Drosophila melanogaster: one gene and its partners. The protein of the gene in region 4 purifies or fractionates together with the protein of the main gene of each other region. This does not show direct contact. Each region holds a gene or a part of one and is shown on either strand. Other genes may lie near its edges. The genes, in order: Rdh1, Mec2, Gale and ScsbetaG.

Region 1 (4,942 bases), on a different chromosome or scaffold from region 4:
TTAAATAAACTGATTTAGTAATTGCATTTTTTAAATAAACATTTAGTTAACGTTGCCTTGGCGTCACTAGAATCTGAACTATTTAGCAATATATGATTTCGGTTTAAGTCATGAGCTGTCATAGAAGCAGGTGAAAAACTAATCGAAAATAATAGAATATAAATAAGAATAATAATAATAGAATAATATGGTATTATAAGATTAGGTATTAATTAAATTAGACTTGCAGATAGTTATTTAGCTTATCATGCATTTGCTCGACTTGCAATGAGGTTTTTATAAACTAGAAGCAAAAAGCTCTCAGCAAACCCCAAACATATTTCGTTCTCTCGCAGTTTCGAATCAAACTCATCGTGAGTAAGCGTTTTGTGGCTTTCGTGTATTTTGGAGCAGATAGCGTACATTTCGTATAAAAGGCAGTTCCAAACGGACGGGCAAACATTCATTGACAGAACCAGCAAGTGAAACGAACACAAACGGCGGCAAGATCTATACTGTATCCAAACAAAATGGGCTGCCTTACTAATTGCTTGTGCTGCCCCCTCATTTTTGGCCGTCCATTATCGGACTGGCTGCCTACTTGCTAAGGTATTTGCATGGAATAGTTCTACTGCTGAGTAATGATTAATACGCTCGTGAATTGCGGCCTGTGTTGAAATAGAGTGATAAGAATTAATGAATTTCAGAAAATACATGCAGGGCGGTCAGTTCACCAAGCAGACCGATGAGACCGGCAAGGTGTTCATTGTCACCGGTGCCAACACGGGCATTGGCAAGGAGACGGTCCTGGAGATTGCCAAGCGAGGAGGCACTGTGTACATGGCATGCCGGGATATGAACCGGTGCGAGAAGGCGCGCCAGGATATTATCAGGGAGACAAATAACCAGAACATATTCTCTCGAGAACTGGACTTGAGTTCGCTGGAATCCATTCGCAAATTCGCTGCTGGGTAAACGCAAACATGATAGATCGACGAATGCGTTACTGATTTCCCTCGTTTATTAGATTCAAGAAAGAGCAGGATAAGCTTCATGTCCTGATAAACAATGCAGGAGTTATGCACTGTCCCAGAACACTGACCAAGGATGGCTTCGAAATGCAGTTGGGAGTCAACCATATGGGACACTTCCTGCTCACCCACTTGCTGCTGGACGTATTGAAGGTATTTTGGGTACTCAGGACTTTCTTAGCACCTTGTTAACCAAACTCCCTGCTTAATCTCACTAGAAAACTGCACCCAGTCGCATCGTGAACGTTTCCAGCCTGGTGCACACCCAAGGTTTCATTAAAACTGCCGACCTAAACAGTGAAAAGTCGTACAGCAGAATCGGTGCCTATAGTCAGAGCAAGCTGGCCAACGTCCTGTTCACCCGGGAATTGGCCAAGCGCCTGGAGGGAACGGGGGTCACAACCAACTCCCTACATCCCGGTGCCGTGGACACGGAGCTGTCGAGGAATTGGAAGTTCCTGAAACACCCCTTTGCACAGTAAGATAGAAGACATAAGTGGGCACTACTTGAGTTTGATATTAACACTCGTATCGCTTAGGCTACTGCTCAAGCCCCTCCTGTGGGTACTCTTCAAAACCCCTCGCAATGGAGCGCAGACCACTCTCTACGCAGCCCTGGATCCTGCACTAAAGGATGTTTCCGGGCTCTACTTTAGCGACTGCCAGCCAAAGGAAGTGTCCGCAGCTGCCCAGGACGACAAGACTGGAAAGTTCCTCTGGGCGGAGAGCGAGAAGTGGACCGGCGTGAATTCAACCAAAGTTGATTAAGCAACCATTAGTTTATCCCTCGCCATTTCATAATTTATTATTTTAATAGCTTATCATAATGAAGACTAACGCAAAATGTAATAATTTATGTTTGAATTGTAGAATTCTTACGGATTCTACAAGCTGAAAATAAAGAAATGCTCCCAAAAAAGCTTTACCTAATCTAAAATTTGTATTTTGAGATCAACATTGTTGCATTTCTGTGTTCAGTACTAAAGAAAAATGGTCAAATTCTTTTGTTTTTTTTGTAAAAGTGATGGAATCAATTTGGATGATTCATGCTTTATTTTTGTACCCGTTATTCCTGGAGTAGGAGGGTATACTAAATTAGTTGGAAAGTATGTATGTAACATAACGAATCAGTTAGTTCCCTATATCTCGACGTTCAAACGGACGGATATGGCTGGATGGATCGTTTTGACTAGTGTTGCTGATCAAGTCTAAATATAAACTTTATTCTATATGTTACATACTGTTCAGCGAACCTATTATACCCTTTTACTCCACGCGTAATATACCCATTGAGTAAATATAAACATCAATGGAATTGCTTTTATTTGTTTGAATGCTTTCCACTATCATAACATATTATTGAGAATTCGTTTTCTCTTGACCTTCGTTAAGAATCTCTCTCCCGACGTTCTCCATTTCGTCAGGTTCTCACTCCGAATTAGCGATAATATATGTTTGTGTGGGGTAGCTGTGCTCAGTAATATATTAACAGCTGTGCTGTTCGTACCAGAACGCACTCAACGATTGAAATAAGATCTGACAACACCCTAAATACAAGGAATTGTACAAAGATATTCAAAATGTGCATTTTCATCGATTGCTTATTGAGCCCCTTGATTATGTGGCCAGCTACTATCGGCGTGGGCATCTACTTCTTGAAGTGAGTTGCGGTAATTATTTCGTGTAATTATGAAATATACCAGTGTGACTACGCATCCATGACTCGCTACTATGATTCCCCCGGGTAATAGATAACAGCTTTTCAGGTAATTCCTATTGATAATTCCAGGGAGTACATGCAAGGTGGAAAGTTTACGAAGGACACCGATGAGACCGGAAAGGTATTCATTGTGACCGGTGCCAACACGGGCATTGGCAAGGAGACGGCTCTGGAGATAGCCAGACGTGGGGGAACTGTGTACTTGGCTTGCAGGGATATGAACCGATGTGAAAAGGCCCGCAAGGATATCATCAAGGAGACAAATAACCAGAATATATTCTCTCGAGAGCTGGACCTAAGTTCCCTAGACTCCATTCGCAAATTTGTTGATGGGTAAGCTTACCTCCAGAGAATTTTCTTGTCTCTGTAAGATTTAAAAACCTATCCTATCAATCAGCTTCAAGAAGGAGCAACCCAAGCTTCACGTCCTGATCAACAATGCCGGCGTGATGCGTTGTCCCAAGACCCTAACCAAGGATGGCTACGAACTGCAGCTGGGAGTAAATCATATTGGTCACTTTTTGTTGACTAACTTGCTGCTCGACGTACTGAAGGCAAGTGTGCTATATAATAGTCAAGTGCGTCAGATAATGGTCTTACAAAATTTCAGAACTCGGCTCCCAGTCGCATTGTCGTTGTGTCCAGTCTGGCACATGCGCGTGGCTCCATTAACGTAGCCGACCTCAACAGCGAGAAGTCGTATGATGAGGGCCTAGCCTACAGCCAGAGCAAGTTGGCCAACGTCCTGTTCACCCGGGAATTGGCCAAGCGTTTGGAGGGCAGCGGAGTCACAGTAAATGCCCTTCACCCTGGTGTGGTGGACACTGAGCTGGCGCGGAACTGGGCCTTCTTCCAGACAAACCTTGTGAAGTAAGTGATGAATAAGTGAATTAGGACCTTCCCAGTAATACCTGTTAACCTTCCTAGGTTCTTTTTAAAGCCAATGATTTGGCCGCTTTTAAAGACACCGAAGAGTGGAGCTCAGACCTCGATTTACGCTGCTTTGGATCCGGAGCTTAAGAACATCTCTGGCCTGTACTTCAGTGACTGCAAACCAAAGCCTGTGGCTTCTGGTGCCTTGGACGATAAGGTTGCCAAGTTCCTGTGGGCCGAGAGCGAGAAGTGGACCGGATTAGATAAGCTGGAAGCTAATAACTAAAGAAGAACGAATAGTGTTAGAACAAGCCTTTTATTATACTTGAATACTAGCTGCTGTTTCACGAACGGATTAATAAATAAATACATATTTCTCTAGCTTTCATAAAGCATATTTCATATTTCGCATAAGTCGATTAGTACGCCTGTTGGCTAATAAGTTTCCAGTTTAGTTGGCTTTCTGCTCAGTTGCTCCCGCCGTGATAAACACCCTGGAGTGGAGCACATGGGTTGTGGGTTCCCTCTTCTCTTGCGCATTGTTTACGGTGTTGACGTATGTGTACTGCATATAGAAGCCCAGAACGACGTCTGCTAATCCGGACAGCTCCTCTGCTGGGGTAAACTGTAGCCGCAAAAGCACCTTGTTGCCCTTCCGCCAGACAATAAACTTGGGCTCCTCGGTGGACAGTTGCACGTCCTCGTCGAACTCTTTCGAGTCATCGCGCTGGTTCAGAACGAACTCGCTCTCCAACGGAACTATTTCGGCATTGGATATATCAATCACATCTCGTTTTACCTCCCGTGTTGAGTTTTGACGCGACAGTGTGATGCCCACTGCTTTTAGAAGTGGGGACGAAGAAATGGGTTCCTCTTTCGCAACACGAGTGGCCTCTGTTGACAGCTGTGGATCCTCAGGAGGAGATGCAGTCAACAGTCGAATTGTCATATCGTATATAGTCGGATTCGTGAGCTTCAGCAAAATGGCGTTGCTTTTTCCTGCCACCAGTGGCTGCTCGCAGCGCACCATCACCACTTCAGGAACATGGTAGCTGGCGAAGTGCTGAATGCGGTACTTTATCGATGTGGGATGGTACTCCGGTTTGATTAGATTGTGCTCGCACTGGCGGCAACGAAGCGACCGCTTAATCCACAGGGACCTGCGCTGAGGATAAAGACTCCCAACGGCCGTGGGCTGGTCCGCCGGCTGGCTATGTCGCTGGGTGATGGTTGTCACATTCCGCAAGTTCAAGGGTTCCGTGAAAATGTTCTCCGGCAGGCCCTCCACCTCCGCCGTGGCCTCTGCCGGCGTTATCACGGCTTTAGCCTTGGGAGCCTT
Region 2 (5,580 bases), on a different chromosome or scaffold from region 4:
CTTCATGGATGGATAATGATAATGGATAAAGTCAATTTGGAGATCTGCTCCAGTTATATTATAAATCCTCGGGCTTCGGAGGTTTTTTCAGTCCTGTAGCTTCAGGCTCTTAATGTAGTCAATGAGTAGCTTGGGGTGCACATGTTTGATCTCCTGAACAGGCACGGCTTCCCCCCACTTGGATCCCTTCCAGGTGACAATGAAGTAGACCGTGTCACCAAGCATATAGCTGTACATAACATTCTCAATTGCTTTGCCGCGGACCAGGAGCGCATCCGTAGGCGGCACGTTCAACGGTTGGGACTCATTGGAATTGCCGCCATCGAGATTCCCTGACACGCTGCCACCGTTGGTTGCATCCAGTTCTGCCTGTTGTACCAACAACTCGACGAGCAGCCGAGCCAGCTCTGCCCGAGCCGAATTGTGAACTCCCATGTGCTTTGGAGGCGGCGTCGAACCGGCCTCCTTGGATTCATCCTTTGTCGGCTCTTCCTGCACTTCCTCCTGCTGATCGTTCTCCTTCTGCTGATCGTTCTCCTTCTGCTGATCGTTCTCCTTCTGCTTTTCCTCCTCCGCGGGGAAACCACCTGTGTTCTTGTTGTTGGGGCTGTTTTCTTTGTCCGCCATCGTTTAGCAATAAAGTTCTCTTGCAAAAGTAAACCAAATGAATTCACGTGCAATCGTTAAATGAAAAATGGCGGCAAGTTTCCGATTGCTGAAGCTGCCAGCTAGTGCGAATTGCATTTATTAAAAAAAAAAAAAAAATGAATAAGACATTAATATTTTCAAACTCTGGCAACGCCCTAGATTCAAATCATAGGTTGGTTTTCGGCCAAGCGTCCAGTGCGTCTAAAACTATGTTATCTGACTTTTCTGGCGATTGCTTAAGTTCCGGTGGCGGGCCCATCAAGTGGGCATATTTGGCCAGATACGGAGTAAGCAGCTCCATGGGCAGAGGAAAGATAATGGTGGAGTTCTTCTCGGCGGAGATGCTGCTCAGGGTTTGCAAGTAGCGCAGCTGTGATGACAGAAAAATTCGAATGGCTGGTAATCCGTGCTCAACGATTGATTTCAGCTTTTACTAGGACAACACCCACCTGCAAGGCCGATGGACTGGCGGAAATGACATCGGATGCCTCCTTGAGCGCTGTGGCGGACTTCTTCTCACCCTCGGCGGCGATCACCTTGGCACGAGCATCACGAGCTGCCTCCGCTTCGGCGGCCATGGCACGCTGCATGGAAACGGGCAGGGAGACATCCTTGCTGTCAGCGGGTGAAGTGCATACAACGTACAGATGTTAAGAAATACTGATCTGATCTGATGGATGTCAAATGCCTACTAAATGGCTACTTACATCTCAACGCGCTCCACCATGACGCCCCACGGCTCGGTGGCCTCGTCCAACGTGGCCTGCATATTGTGGGCCAGGGTTTCGCGCTCGGTTAGCAGTTCGGACAGGTTGCGAGTGCCGACGATATTTCGGAGCGTGGTGGCCGCCAGGAGGCGAGTGGACATGCTGTAGTCCTCGACCTGGATGACCGCATAAAGGGGATCACTGATGCGATAGTAGACAACGGCGTCCACAGTGACCGTCACGGAATCCTTCGTCAGCATCTCCTGCTGCGGCACATTGAAGGTAACCGTGCGCAGGTCCACCTTGCGGTACTCATCGATGCACGGCAGGATGAAGAACATGCCGGGACCACGAGCTCCGCCGCTCAGTCTGCCCAGCCGGAAGATGATCGCCCGCTCGTACTCCGCCACCACCTTGAAGCATATGAAGATGGCGATGGGCGATGTGATGATGAAGATCAGCACGGAGAACAGGGTGACCACCCATTCCATGCAGCCCTTGGGCTCGTTCTCCGCTGCAATGGGATGTTAGGAATATGAATATGAAATATTCATCTACAAAATGGCCATATTTCAGGCATATGTGTACAATAATTGTGCCGCAAGAGAAACGTAGATAAGTCCACTTCAATTCGATGGCCAAGATGAAGTACCTTCTTTGTCCGGATTCCGAAGAGACCAACTTATTATTAAGTAAAACAGGACTATGATGGACTATGTAACAACTTGAAAAAGAGAAAGCTGTGAAAAGCAATAGCCATCACAATCAAAAAAAAGAAAACACGGATAAACACCAATCAGCCCGCTTATCTTGGAGTCCAATAAAAATTCCTACGATTAAAAATATAGACAGGTGTAATATATATGCGCCAATACAATTAGAATGTTGTAGCAATTGACGATTATGTGGGATTACGATGGAAATCAAATTGCTACTAGTACTACTTTGATAAAGCGAGAGATAGTTTGTATTTTTAGAACTCCTATCTAGTGAATACTATTAACCGAATCAAGCGGTTTTGCATGTCTGAAATATTGTAGAATGCTTTGAGCCAAAAACAAACTTTTCACGCGATCAAAATGCTGTTGCAATCTTATCTGAACCAGCGATTCCAAGAAATCGTATCTCAATCGATCTAAAGTGATTAGCGCTTGACAGTAAGCAAAGACTTGTTTTTTTTTAACAATAATAATTCTCCTAATATTGGCCGGGATGGGTCATCATCTTGCTGCATCTATAGTATACACCGTTTCCGCCCGCTTACAAGTTTTGAATCCACGATACTGCTGCGTGGTGCCGGGCACTCGAAGTGCCGGCTCGGGTGCCATGCCGGCGGCGCCCATGTTGACCATGTACGCCGTGGAGCTGGCCGGCCCAGAGTTGCGCATATCTTCGTAGTTGGCGTACACGGGCGAATCCTGGTGCGGCTCCATTGCTGTTTCTCTGCTCCGTTCTGGCCTACGTTCGTTGCTCTCCGATCGGCTATGGATTCGAAACTGTCGCCAGCGGTCAGCGCCGCAAAAGCCAAACTGAATGCCCAAAAGCGTTCTCACGTGATAAGAGCGCACTGGTTCTCTCAGATACGAAGTATCGCATTGGCATTATCGCTACGCTGAGCTGCCGAGCGGCTTAAATGCGATTCAACAGTGAGAGAAAAGAAGCACTGCACTGAAACACCACGAACCAAGTGTGCCGCCACTGAAAGAGGCGATCTCTAGTCCGTACATCCTCCACAGCAATTGAGCACATGCCATATAAGAGAATGTAATGGAATGGAATGTAAATGCATCGGCTCGTAAATTTTCGTTCAGTGTAGTGTATCTACGACCGGGGAAACACCAAGAGCCGCTCTGTAAGTCGAGAGCCATGGGTCACCACGGATGATTCACTGCACTGCGCCGAAAGAATTGCCAACTGGAGGCGTACACTTTCAGATTATTCCGACCGACGATCAATGAAAGCCGAGTAAGCTCTATCTGGCCCAAGTGCGTTTAGCACTTTAATCAATCGGTTATCTCAGCTGGAGCATTGAGACGCAGTTCTGCTTTGGGGTCACGGGTCATTGGCTGGAGCCACCCGATGGTGACTCAATTCTGATCTGGCGGTCACATTAGCACTGAAGAGCTTATCTGCCACACTCGCTGAAGTGGCATGCAAATCTGAGTTATTTAGATAAGCGAAGAGCAAATATGTACATACATATATATATATCATATATAAATGTAAATTTTGTTGTTTCGAAAAAGGGGGAAGAACTGAAAAAAAAAATGTGTTTTCTGAATCATTTGGTTTATTTAAATGGTTAGCTTTTACCCTGGTTTGTAGTTAGCTATTGTTATTAATTCTTAAGATACAAACAAATAATATTGGTTATTTTAAATATAACGTCTCTACTTAAAACGACTGTGAATGAAGAAGGAAAAGCCTTGGAAAAGCCTCAGTTACTATTGCATACTAAATTCGACATATTAGAATAAATTCTAAAAAAAAAAAATTTATTTTTAAGTCCGAACCATGTTTGAATCTCTCCAGAATCTAGGGAATTCCATGGCACTTTCATTCGAATTCATTGGTGACTCATTTTCCGGATTTTCCGGACAGTTCCGCTTTCTGTCGCTGCTGCCGCCGTTCCACTAGAGCAAGAAACCCACGATGTCGTCATCGTCATCCGCCGCTCCCGCTGCAGCCGCTCCGCTTCGCTGTTGCTTCTGCTGACGCTGCAGCTCGCAGCGATGCAGTGCCTCCAGATATGGTTGCAGCACCGACATCGAGCGTCACTGGTGGTGTTGGTGCGGGTGTCGATGGAGTGGCGTGCCAGGAGCCGCAGGATGTTGTTGTTGTTGGTGCTGATGCTGCTGCTGTTGCTGTTGCAGCTGCTGCTGGTGTTGCAGTTGCAGCTGCTGCGAGTGTGCTTGGGTATTCAGGAAGGGCGTGAGCAGCTCCATGGGCAGCGGGAAGATGATGGTCGAATTCTTCTCGGTTGAAATGCTGCTCAGTGTTTGCAAGTATCGCAACTAAGTAGAGAAGAAGATGGAACGAATGAAACCATTTGGGCCAGTTCCAAATGTCCGATGGTTGGATTCAGATGGAAGAAGATGACTCACCTGCAGGGCGGATGGACTGGCCGAGATGATCTCGGAAGCCTCGCGCAGAGCCCTCGACGACTTCATCTCGCCCTCGGCGGCAATGACCTTGGCCCGCGCCTCCCTCGCTGCCTCCGCCTCGGCGGCCATCGCCCGCTGGAGGGCAGTTGGCAAGGATACGTCCTTGCTGCAAGCGGATCATGGATAGAGTGGATCATGTCATGATCACATCACGACTTTCGGCAGTTGGCTACTCACATCTCCACGCGCTCCACCTTAACGCCCCAGGGATCGGTGGCCTCGTCCAGGGACATCTGCATGGTGTGCGAGATGGTCTCGCGTTCGGTCAGCAGCTCGGACAGATTCCTGGTGCCGAGCACATTGCGCAGCGTGGTGGCCGCCAGGAGACTCGTCGAATGGCTGTAATTGTACACCTGGATGACCGCCTTGAGGGGATCGCTGATGCGGTAGTAGACAACCGCATCTACCGTCACAGTAACCGAGTCCTTGGAGAGCACCTCCTGCGGCGGCACGTCAAAGGAGACGGTGCGCAGATCCACCGGATAGTAGTCGTCCACGCAGGGCAGCACAAAGAAGACCCCGGGACCACGGGCTCCGCCGCTGCGCAGTCGCCCCATCCGGAAGATCACCGCTCGCTCGTACTCGGAGACCACCTTGAAGCAGATGAACACCGAGATGGGAAAGGTTAGCACCATGATCAGCACGGACACCACCGTGGCCAGGATCTCCACGCAGCCCATGTCATCGTTTTCAGCTGCAAGATTTGAAGATCATCGTATGCAGTATGTAAAGTGGTATGATTGGTTATGATGATGATTAGCTGGTATGATTGTTTTTAAACTTTTGCTTAGGACAATCAATTCTCACAACATTTTGTAATATTTTGGACTTAATTTAATATTTATTATTAAAGCTTAAACAATAGATATGCAATTAATATCATTGGTTATGAAAATGGACACCATTTTTGCATTTAACTTTAGCTTAAAAACATACGAGTATATTATAACTTTCTGAATACACTCCATCAAATGAAAACTGATCCCAATACTAAGTACGAGTATGGATGTATCTTTACAACTGCTGGCCAAACAGATAAAAGATACATGTTTCAGTTGGAT
Region 3 (5,849 bases), 4.9 Mb from region 4:
GTCTCCACAGACTACAGCAGTATTTAAGCGGCATTTAAACTATCCCCTCCACCGCCCCTCTGGGCTACGGATCTCTTTGCCTCCTGCAACCTATGCGAATACTTAGAACTACCATATTATACATATTAATTCATTACGTATGCATATCGCACACACATGTAGCCAGACGTAAATGTAGCACCTAGTAATGCTTCTTGTTGAATTCGATTTCTTTGCCTCTCCATCACTTGTTGAACGAATCGCCAAGCTCCTAAGTGTAAAACAGATTGCCAAATACCGATACAAACAAACACTCCCAGAAACAACAGGCTCGAATATAAACAATTTTGTACTTTTATACGTGCAGACCATTCCAAAACCAAACAGAAGCAGCAGCCGAACGCAGAGTTGTTGAAAGAAACATACATTCATAGTACATACTTGTGATAAATGACTTTAACTGTGCAGATATGTGCGAAGAAGGCGCATCACTTAAGTTTAAAATTGAGTTTTTAATGTTATATTGCATTTGAATAAATGTTTGCTAAATAAATGTGCGAGTTAGACGTCTTCTTGTAACTTTGGTCAGCTTAATGTGATTATGCCATTTTTGATTAAGATCTGACAAATGGTTGATGCAGTTGTGTGTTTATTTTACCTAATGCCAAGTGTAATCTCCCAGTGCCACCTTGTCGGTGACCTTAATTACGTGATTGCGCCAATTGGCACGCGTCAATGATGCCAGCGGTCACCAAACGCGTAAATGACGGTCACAAAATTACATGACAACAGCGAAAAGCCTTTTTAATTACAAAGTACTTTGGATTACATACGCACACTTGCACACATCGAAGTGAGCGAATACTACACGAAATTTGGAAAGAAATATACACAACTAGAGGCAAATAGAAATTGCTACCTGAGCCATTATCAGGCGTAGTAACTCAGGAACTTGCGGAGCGGCAGGAACGTGGCGATATACAGCTCTACTTGTTGGCATACCCGTTTGGGTTCTGGCTCTGCCAGCGCCACGTGTCCTCGCACATCTTGTCGATGCCACGCTCGGCCTTCCAGCCCAGCTTCTTATCCGCCAACGTGGCGTCCGCATAGCAAGTGGCCACATCTCCGGACCGTCGGTCCACCAGAGTGTAGTTGACCTTCTTGCCGGAGGCCTTCTCAAACGCCTTCACCATGTCCAGCACCGAGTAGCCCACGCCGGTGCCCAAATTGTAGGCGAAAAAGCCCGTCTCCGCGATGTTGCGCAGCTTGTCCAACGCCTTTACGTGTCCCTCGGCCAGGTCCACGATGTGGATGTAATCGCGCACGCCGGTGCCGTCGTGCGTGGGAAAGTCGCTGCCGTAGACACTCAGGCTGGGACGTCGACCCACGGCCACCTGTGCGATGTAGGGCATCAGGTTGTTGGGCTCGCCGTTCGGATCCTCGCCAATCCGACCACTGATGTGGGCACCCACCGGGTTGAAGTACCGCAGCGAAACCACTGCCCAACGCTGAAAGAGCGAATTCTTTAGTACAGAACTTATGGACATCAAGAAATGACATCCTCCTACCTTGTCAGACTTGCACAGATCCTTGAGAATCTCCTCGGTGAAATATTTAGTCTTGCCGTAGGGCGATGTACAGTTGCCCGTGGGATGCTCCTCGGTCACGGGCAGGAACTTTGGCTCACCGTATACGGTGGCGCTGGAGCTGTACACGAACTTGAAGACATTGTTGTCGGCCATCGCCTCCAGCAGGACATTGGTGCCGGTCATGTTGTTGTGGTAGTACTGCAAAGGTATGCGGCAGGACTCACCCACGGCCTTCAGGGCGGCAAAGTGGGCCACCATGTCGATTTTGTGCTGAAAGGGATGTAAATATATGTACCTATTAGTTTGGGAAATCCAAATCTGTAATAACCAGCTCTTCAGTAAGCACAAGGATATTGCCTCTTATAAACGTAAAGTGCAGAATTTAATAGCAATTAAATGAAAGTATCACATTGATTTCAAGGTGATTTATTGACAAACAATTATGTGTTCTTTAAATAGCTGTTGATAGTGCTGATTAGGTAAAAAATTCCACCACAACAAATACTGCTCAATCTATTCAGTAATCAGTGCGCGTAAGCACAAAGCTGTGTGCATTTATGGTTGAATAAAAATATGAAAAAGTATCAGCTTAAGATATTTCATGGCTATTTGGGCAACAACGTGCATTTTTATAATGTTCATTACATGTAAATAAACGCTTTGTTTTTTATAAACGACGGTGGTTAACAAAAAAAACCCCTTTGATCGAACATCTCAAGAATGCGTGATAACCTGCTCGAATTAGCGAATTCTCTTGGTTATCAATGGATGTAAACACTGCAATCTGGGCTCCCGACCACCCAGATTGTAGTGTACGTGCCCGGGAGCTGTTGTGGATGTGGATGCCAGCGCACCAACTCGAATGCGACCTCGCCAAGTGGGTCTTTCATTCAGGGTCGATCAGCACGGCGGTTCGTCGGAAGTGCCCCGCCACTTGAGCAAACAACAAAACAAGCGCGAACGAGAAAAAAGCTGATAGCGCGCATGCCAGATAAGCTTGATTGAATGGTATCCAGTTGGCACATTTGCCCCAGAACCTCCGAACTGCTGACGTGCCAGCTATGTAATGCTACGTGTGCTCACCTCCTGGAAGACGGAGCGCACCTGCTCCCTGTCCGTGATGTCCACTCTATAGAAGTTGACCTTCTTGCCGGTGATTTCCTGCACCCGGCTGAGGGCCTCCGGCAGTTTGGCCCCGCTGCTGTAGGCGTTGCACAGGTTGTCCACGCAGATGACGTTGTAGCCCGCATTGAGCATCTCCAGAACCGTGTGGGAGCCAATGTAGCCGGCTCCTCCGGTGACCAGGACCGTGGGTGGGGCCATCCTAAGTGGCGAAAGGGGAAAACACACGAAATTAGGCCACACGAGTGCCCAGTTCTTATTGACGTCACCAAAATCGTTCGGCAGGCGTGCGAAATAGCCGTCTGCTTGGCGAAAAACGGGTAACTCACCTGTTTACAGGTGATTATGGTAGAGAATCCCCGCTCAGTGAATCAGATTGAGTTTAGCTAGACGCAAGAGACGTGCCCTTGAAACGATTCCGCCTCGGATTCCGATGCCTAAAAACAACGCCTCTGATCTCCGACGAGATTGCAGATGATGGTGTAGATGAAGATGCCAAAGATCGCTGACCGTTGAGTGCTATCGTGTGCTAACCCGTTTCTTGCACTCTTCCTCATTCATCTGTGTTGTCGTACGTCTGTTTTGATCTGCGGTCGCTGGCCAACTGAACTGGTGGCTCTCCACGGAGCCTATTTAACTTGTTCTCCGTTCTCCGAACGCGCACTTCTTATCAGTTTCGGTGGTTTGGTGGGCTCGGAGCTCTCCTGTCACTTTAATTCAAGTGCTAGCAGCAGGCTGACTTGGTCGACGGACGGCCGGGGTCACCTCGAAGTGCATCCTTATCGCCGCTGACCTTTGGCTCCCGATTCCATGCCCATTAATGCAATTTCCAGGTGCTCTTCACTTCGCTCTCCGAATAAAAGTAAACAAAGTGGTAGCGTTGCCACGCGACATGGCTCGTTCGACGCTGCCATATTCGCCGATTTTTCAGCTACCTGGCACAGTGGGATTCGTCTCGATAAATTTCTTGGCTGTCTATCGATATGAACAACTTAAAACAAGAAGTGCGCCCATATCGGTGTTTAAATGTGAAAACATTCTGGAGACGCGAATAGGGGTGGTAAAAAAATAGTTTTCATTATAAAGCGTATAAAATCACAAATCGTAATTAATTAAACATATGATAAGAGAATAACGCCAAATTCATAATGCAATGTAATTTTGTAACGCATTCTATCCCCAAGATAATAATCTTATATGATCTGGCATCACTGCCATGTGCTTCTGTAAAATTTACATGTAGATAAGTTGACATTTTACTTGACTGATAAACGGAGCAGATTCAAAATTAATTTTAAACTCGAAAAGCAAACGTTTGATAACAACAAACTTCAGTACAATGCGTACAACTACATCGTCATAAATAACTAGAACCGCAGTTCGGACAGCTTTTTGGTGACCCAAATTCGGTTCAAATCTTTAATGATAAGCGGAAGTGCATGTGCTCAATACGCAATGAAAAAGATCTCACAATGTTTACAACTTAATTGAGAATGTATTTGCGCAGCGACGAGTCTCTCAATGAAATGCGCCTGCTTTCGGTTCTGAATGAATGGAATGCATGAATGGGTCGAAAGCTTCGGAGCTTTAACCTAGATTGGCATTTGACCGGCTTTATCTTATGGTTTTTGGAGTGTCGATAATCGTTATTTGTTTGAATAGTTCTATCTCAGTCAATAAATCGTTTTTCTGATTATGGTTTCCGAATTCCATTTCAATTTATCGCTAAAAAAAATTGCGGCATAAGAGTCCCAAAATTAGAACAAACCGTAAAATACTGCTTCGGCATAATAATCTACATAATCATCTGGAAACGAATCGATTCTCGAATGCGGGAAAGCTCACTCGATAAGGAAGACGCAGTACATACATATACCGCAAGACCATGCTTACCGCACACCGCATGTACTACATACATACGTACATCTACATATATTTTGAGATTCTCGGGCGGCACACATATGTACATACTGACAACCGGAAATGAGTTAGTTGAACTTCCGGCATTGCTCGCCTCTGAATGGCGCTGGCCTGCAATATTTTTTTATGTGAGCGACAATAATTTGCACAGTCAGAGTCGCAGCCACAGAAACTGAACTGAAACAGAATTGGAAAGAGAAAGACAGAACGGACAAGTCTCCAAGTGGAAGTGGTCGATCCTAAAGCTACGTATTTGTACATAATGTGCTGCGGTCTAGTCTACATACATAAATATATATATATATATATGTATAGAAGCGAGCTCCCAATCCAATCCCGCCTGCACATATGGGGGAATTATCAGTTCGGTCCGAGAGTTGGATTGCTGTTATTGCTGGGGCTAAGGTTTTCGGGGGGTCTGGCCCGGCCCGTTAGCTATGTCCGTCTTCTTGTTTACTTACTGTACTTATATGTTTATTAGTATGTGATCTTTTATTTCAAACACTTTCCACTCCACGAATAGAATGCCAAACGAATAGAATTTCCTTGCTTACACTTATTGTAAATTTCGGTTATCCATCTTAATAAAACCAATTTTCCGCATTATTGTTTGTGCCCGATAATCATCTATGTATGTTCTGCGTTCCCTCAAAAGAGACCACCCCAGATAAGCACCGACTCTGGCACTTTAATTTGATCTCGGATCGGCAATGGGAAAATGAAGTAGGGAAATAGTGAAAGTGGTGCACTTTTCACATGGCCCAACGGAGACCGACTTGGAAACTGGGATCGCCCGGGCCACCATAAATGCTTATCACAAATTAAGCAATTTATACATATTTCGTGACGTTTTCTGGCAGAACCCGCATGGCCCGTCTAAAAGTTTTCAATTCCTAAATTGAAGATATGGAAAATTAAATTCAAAACGCACTTTTCTATGCGCGATCCGAAGTCGAGACTACATACATAAATTTATTACATTTATTAAATTTGTTACTTTGACTCAAAAAATTCGAAAAAATTGGACCACTCTTCTGAACTTTTCTGCCCACCTTTACTTAAGCTTATGACCTTAAGGATATTGTATTGTAACCTCATTACAAATTAAACTATATTAGAACACATAACATGAGAACCACCAATGCCACCAATATTGTATTGTTGAAATATATCTCTCTATTCATCTACTGTAATTGTAATACCCATGTTTCAATACAAAAGTACAATCTATGAAGAGTG
Region 4 (5,231 bases):
GGGGACGGAATGTTTTTGTTTTGTTTTCCTCTTGGTTGGCTTGTGTTTTCCTTGGTGCAAGTGTGCCAGCTGCCACGGCTAAAATAGACAATGCAAGAAGGTTAAGCGACCGACCCTGACTTGGATATAGTCAAGTACTTACCATCGACTATCCGCGCACCAGCTCAAATCGCGTCTGAGATTCCTTGAACTGAATTCTCTTCTTGTGCTGCACGTGGGCTTCACTGAGGAACAAAGTAGACGCCACCAGGGTTAACACAGTACCCACACACGCCAGGATAAAGGACCAGCCAAACCAATTGTTCGCATGCTCCGGCATCCAGCCATTCCGGTTGCCAAATCCAGCGAATACAATCACTGCAATGGCTGCACTTACTCCAGCACCGAGAAGCACATATCCCAACGATTTAATGAGCGTAATGAAGTGCTTTTGATCCGGACCAGCACACAGGATGAAGACCAGTACTCCGATGGCAGATACCAACATCCCGATGAAGGCCAAAGTGTAGAAGAACTGAGTGGCTATCATGAAGGCGGGCAGCAGGAATCCACGGATCTCATCGTAACCCGTGGTAAATGGGTCATACACCCAACGGCAGCCCACGAAGAATCTCCGCTGGCTATCGTCGTTCACGTCCGGCAGCGACCGGAAGCAGTGCACCCACAATCCCAGGCGATCCAGCTTGGCGCCCGTGATGCGGTAATCACTGACCAACCAACTGGGCGTTGCAAACGCAATCACGATGAAGGCAAAGGCGAACACGAAGACGCCAACGCCACAACTTCCGGATAGTGTGCGTCTCTTCATGTTCACTGTGTGACTGTTTTGCGTGTGGCTGGTGGGCAGGTGCTCCTGGGAATCCTCGCGTGCGAAGTGGGATGGTTTTTGCATCCTTTGAGTGGGAAATTCTATTGGAATTTCGCTGGTTTCCTGGGGAAATGTTTGTTTGGTTTGCTGTTTGGGTGTGGACTGCAGTGTGGCCGCACTGGTAATACCGCAGAATACCATGGGGCCACAAAATAAATACCAAATGCTACGGTACCAATAAATTTCAAAACAGTAAATTAAACAATTTAGATTATACATTTTTTAAATTAAGAAATAAATGATTTTAAATTTAATTAATTTTTGATAGATGGCTAAGGTACTTCTTAAATCAAATAAAAAGCTTTTTATATAGAATATAACATATTTTGGTTATATTGTCGATAAAAACTTATACTTAAAAGGCCCAACCGTTGTAAATGCTAATGAGCGTCGTTTCATTCTGGAAGACATGCTCTCCTCAATCGTTCCCCTAATTAAGGGCTGCCACAGCCTTGTGGGCGGCATCATCCAAGTCACTGGCTGTCTGAATGGGCAGGCCCGAATTCTTCAGGATCTCGCGAGCCTGATTTACATTGGTGCCCTCCAGTCGCACAACCAGTGGAACATTCAGTTGCAGCTTTTTGGATGCAGCCACAATGCCATTGGCAATGGTGGCACAATTGACAATGCCGCCAAAGACATTGACCAGGATTCCCTTGACTTTCGGGTCAGCAGTGAGGATCTCGAAGGCTTTGGCCACCTGATCCTCCCTGACGCCACCGCCGACGTCCAAAAAGTTGGCGGGCTCGCCTCCATTCAGCTTGATGATGTCCATGGTGGCCATGGCCAGGCCGGCACCATTAACCAAGCAGCCAATGTTGCCATCCATGGCGACGTAGTTCAGATTGTACTTGGCCGCCTCCACTTCTCGGGGATCGGATTCCTCCTCGGTGACGTCCATGGAGAAAATATCCTTCTGACGGAACTGGGCATTGTCGTCAAAGTTGAGCTTAGCATCAACGGAGATAACTTCTCCCTTATCCGTCTCCGCCAGCGGGTTGATCTCGATCTGTACGGCATCCACAGCTTTGAAGAGAGTATAGAGTTTTTGAATTTCCTCAGCACAACGCTTTACAGAGTCTCCCTTGAACTCCAAGAACTTGGCCACCTCCAAGAGCGTCGACTCCGGTATGGGCTTGCCAATGTCTAGCGGAACAGTCTTAATTTTCTCAGGGGTTTCCTCGGCCACCGCCTCGATATCCATGCCACCGGCAGGTGAGGCAATCAGCACGGGTCCATTGTGCTCGCGGTCCAGCAAGATGCAGAGATAGGTCTCGCGGGTGATGTTGATACTGCGTGCCACCATGACCTTGTTGACCAAAATTCCCGATTTGGGCGTTTGTTTCGTTATCAGTCGGTTTCCAATCATCTGCTGGGTAAGCGAAAGCACCTCGCTCTTGCTGGCAAAATGTTAAATAATTATTAGTATAAGCTGGTCTTATCACTTGTGTTTTTAAGGTACACTCTGGCTTTCACAAACTTTTATCATTTTCAATATGGGCAGAATGATAAGATTAATCTTATATACAAATGATATTGTAGAACATAAATAATATTAATTTTTTAGATAAAATGTGAATGTGAATAGCCGGAATAGACCTAATCTATAATACTTGGTGGTGATATGGACGCCGCCTTTGAATCCGTTGTCGAAAGTTCCCTTGCCACGCCCACCGGCGAGAATCTGCGCCTTCACCACGTATTCCGGGCACTCTGAAACACAGAAGCACAGCATTTAACACCAATTAGCCCAGGGATTACATAAACACCGGCATGGTTCCGTCCTCCACTTACCAAAAGTCTTGACGACCTCGGCATCTGCCTTGGAGTTATTCAAGACCTTGAATTGCTGTATGGCCACTCCATACTTCTGGAGGAGATCCTTGCTCTGGAACTCCAGCAGATTCAGGTTGCGCACGGGAACCTATCATCGAAAGATAAACAAAGCCAAGACAAAGGTCACTTCAACTTCTCTTTTCGAAGAGTTGATATATTATAGAGGAATGTGAGTGCGAGGAAACCTTATGAACGATGTGACGGGCTGTGGTAACTGCTTTCAGTAGGAACGACATCTTGGCTGATCTGCGGTGGTAACTGAATACCTTGGCTAACTTGGTATTAATTTATTTTCGTAACTTTGTCGGTAAATTTAGTTTAAAAACACAACCGAAAATCGCCGCCGTTCCACGATGCTTATCACTGCACAATGTGACCAAGAAGCACGACTACTTTCCATGGTGATAAAAATATACCAAATGCCACTGCCATCTTGAACTAGTTCTCGCGAAGCAATGGTCTTACTGTTGCAGTCAGCTGAAAATCAGCTGTCGTTGTGTACTTTTTTTCTTCGGCTAATAGTCAGCGAAGAATGACGAATAACACAAATTGAATGAAAAACCTGAGTGAGACGGAAGCCGAAGTCACCATGCAAGAAAATGTAGTCCACGAATCATTGCCCCAGATCCCGGTGGCCACTTCGGTGAGCTGTTGCTTCGTTCTGGCTGTTCTGTACGTGGGTAGCCTCTACATCTGGAGCACCAAACACAACCGGGATCATCCAACCACGGTCAAGAGAAGATTCGCCAGTGTGTCCATGGTGATGCTGGCAGCCCCGTTCTTCGTTTACTTCTTCTCATCGCCGGAGCTGCTCAGCCGGGTACCATTTCCCAAGCTGCTCGGTTTGCGCTTGGAGGGATTGTGGCAGGCTGTTGTTATACCATACAGCCTGACGGTGCTGCTCTTCCTGGGACCCATCTTTGTCAACATGCAGAACGAGTCCGTGCGCTCCTACTTCGGTAATAGTTAAAGCCCCTCTGCCTATCAGCCCCTTCTCACTGCTTGATTTGAATTGCAGATCTGGACTACTGGAGGGGATCATTTGGCAGCATCATCTGGGTGCGCAACCATGTGATAGCACCGCTGAGCGAGGAGTTCGTGTTCCGAGCCTGCATGATGCCCCTGATCCTGCAGAGCTTTTCGCCCCTGGTCGCCGTTTTCATAACGCCGCTTTTCTTCGGAGTAGCCCACTTGCATCACATAGCCGAACGCCTGAGCTTAGGCGTGGAGTTGAGCACTGCCCTATTGATTGGACTGTTCCAGTTCATCTACACCACGCTATTTGGCTTCTATTCGGCCTTTCTATTTGCCCGTACAGGTCATGTGATGGCTCCCATCTTGGTGCACGCGTTTTGCAATCATATGGGTCTGCCGGATCTGCAGGATCTGTGGCAGCAGGATCTCTGGCGACGAGTAGTGGCCATTATTCTCTACTTAGCTGGATTTGTTGGATGGATGTTCCTGGTACCACTGGCTACCGATCCGTCGATCTATGATAACACCCTTTACTGGAATGCATAATTAAGTTAATTTGTATGTATCAACCGCTGCCATACGTCGGTTCATTCATGTGTACATAAATATTCGTGCATATATTATGTTTATATGTAAATTGCATATCCCATTCGAGCCAATTCCGCGCACAAAAAAAAGACTTCCGATGAAAAAGAAAAAAGAAAGTACAGATAAATGTATACCTAATAGTAAGTCAGTTGTACTGTTTTGTTGTTCGAGAGTACTTTTATTACAACTACTTTTGTTTGCATTTGTTTATTAAACAATTTCTTAACATTTATAAATATTATTTATTATTATTATTAAGAAAGAAATATGAATTCAAATTTAGGCGGTATTATTGGTTCCGCGCAATCACTAGTTCCAACATATCGGTATTGGGCAGCTGGTCACACTGCCACTCAGACCCACATAGGCTTATCGATAGGGCCCGATAGGCCCAGACAAGTAAATTTTGGTAAATATGTGATGATTTAAAACGACGCACAACAAGCGAGCATCTAAACGACCCGAAAATCGAGAGGTCAGCGCCAGGAGGCCCAATCGGAGGTAATCCCGCAGAGCGGCGACCCGTGCTAGAACTGGGAAAACAGATCCGCGTTCTGGTGACGTTTGTGGTCTTTGCCCAGGACTACGAATGATAGTAATTATAGAACAATTAAGACTAACCTCAACCCCCCGGGGTCATCCTGGGACACTTGCAGGCCGCGCGGAAGACCACGTCAACGCACACGCAAATAGAACCCAAATCTTAAGCAGAAATAGCAACAACAACACAACCACCCACCCAACCGCACACAGAATGTATTGCCTACAATGCCTGCTGCCCGTACTACTGATACCGAAACCCTCGAATCCGGCCCTGATGGAAACGCACGTGATGTTCATAGTCCTCTACCTGGTCGGATTCTTCCTGGAGCGAAAGCCCTGCACCATCTGCAGCCTCGTATTCCTCACAGCCGTATCCCTGATATGCTACAGTGGCGTCGGGAACTGCATATTTTGGGGCAAC

The links.
Region 1: the proteins of ScsbetaG (region 4) and Rdh1 purify together in Drosophila melanogaster (affinity purification with mass spectrometry, with the first as the bait; one large-scale study listed by BioGRID). This does not show direct contact.
Region 2: the proteins of ScsbetaG (region 4) and Mec2 purify together in Drosophila melanogaster (affinity purification with mass spectrometry, with the first as the bait; one large-scale study listed by BioGRID). This does not show direct contact.
Region 3: the proteins of ScsbetaG (region 4) and Gale purify together in Drosophila melanogaster (affinity purification with mass spectrometry, with the first as the bait; one large-scale study listed by BioGRID). This does not show direct contact.

The regions. Positions count from the first base shown.
Region 1 is NT_033778.4:7,663,347-7,668,288, forward strand, and holds Rdh1 (retinol dehydrogenase 1), read left to right. Parts: upstream 1-2,481; 5' UTR 2,482-2,590; coding exon 2,591-2,670; intron 2,671-2,799; coding exon 2,800-3,063; intron 3,064-3,127; coding exon 3,128-3,284; intron 3,285-3,340; coding exon 3,341-3,600; intron 3,601-3,657; coding exon 3,658-3,889; 3' UTR 3,890-3,997; downstream 3,998-4,942. Other genes in the region: CG2065 (uncharacterized protein), read left to right, coding at 694-950, 1,007-1,163, 1,229-1,488, 1,550-1,778; DCTN4-p62 (dynactin 4, p62 subunit), read right to left, coding at 4,055-4,942.
Region 2 is NC_004354.4:19,185,323-19,190,902, reverse strand, and holds Mec2 (Mec2), read right to left. Parts: upstream 2,869-5,580; 5' UTR 2,789-2,868; coding exon 2,620-2,788; intron 1,870-2,619; coding exon 1,356-1,869; intron 1,264-1,355; coding exon 1,098-1,263; intron 1,019-1,097; coding exon 815-1,018; 3' UTR 710-814; downstream 1-709. Other genes in the region: HP1D3csd (heterochromatin protein 1D3 chromoshadow domain), read right to left, coding at 88-627; CG33253 (uncharacterized protein), read right to left, coding at 4,130-4,369, 4,460-4,625, 4,697-5,213.
Region 3 is NT_037436.4:646,222-652,070, reverse strand, and holds Gale (UDP-galactose 4'-epimerase), read right to left. Parts: upstream 3,517-5,849; 5' UTR 3,020-3,516; intron 2,893-3,019; 5' UTR 2,892-2,892; coding exon 2,652-2,891; intron 1,839-2,651; coding exon 1,548-1,838; intron 1,488-1,547; coding exon 966-1,487; 3' UTR 760-965; downstream 1-759. UniProt on the Drosophila melanogaster protein: Catalyzes two distinct but analogous reactions: the reversible epimerization of UDP-glucose to UDP-galactose and the reversible epimerization of UDP-N-acetylglucosamine to UDP-N-acetylgalactosamine.
Region 4 is NT_037436.4:5,560,604-5,565,834, forward strand, and holds ScsbetaG (Succinyl-coenzyme A synthetase beta subunit, GDP-forming), read right to left. Parts: upstream 3,089-5,231; 5' UTR 2,941-3,088; coding exon 2,890-2,940; intron 2,793-2,889; coding exon 2,663-2,792; intron 2,582-2,662; coding exon 2,482-2,581; intron 2,269-2,481; coding exon 1,299-2,268; 3' UTR 1,098-1,298; downstream 1-1,097. Other genes in the region: sinu (sinuous), read right to left, coding at 149-892; Sras (severas), read left to right, coding at 3,258-3,663, 3,723-4,225; bc10, read left to right, coding at 5,022-5,231.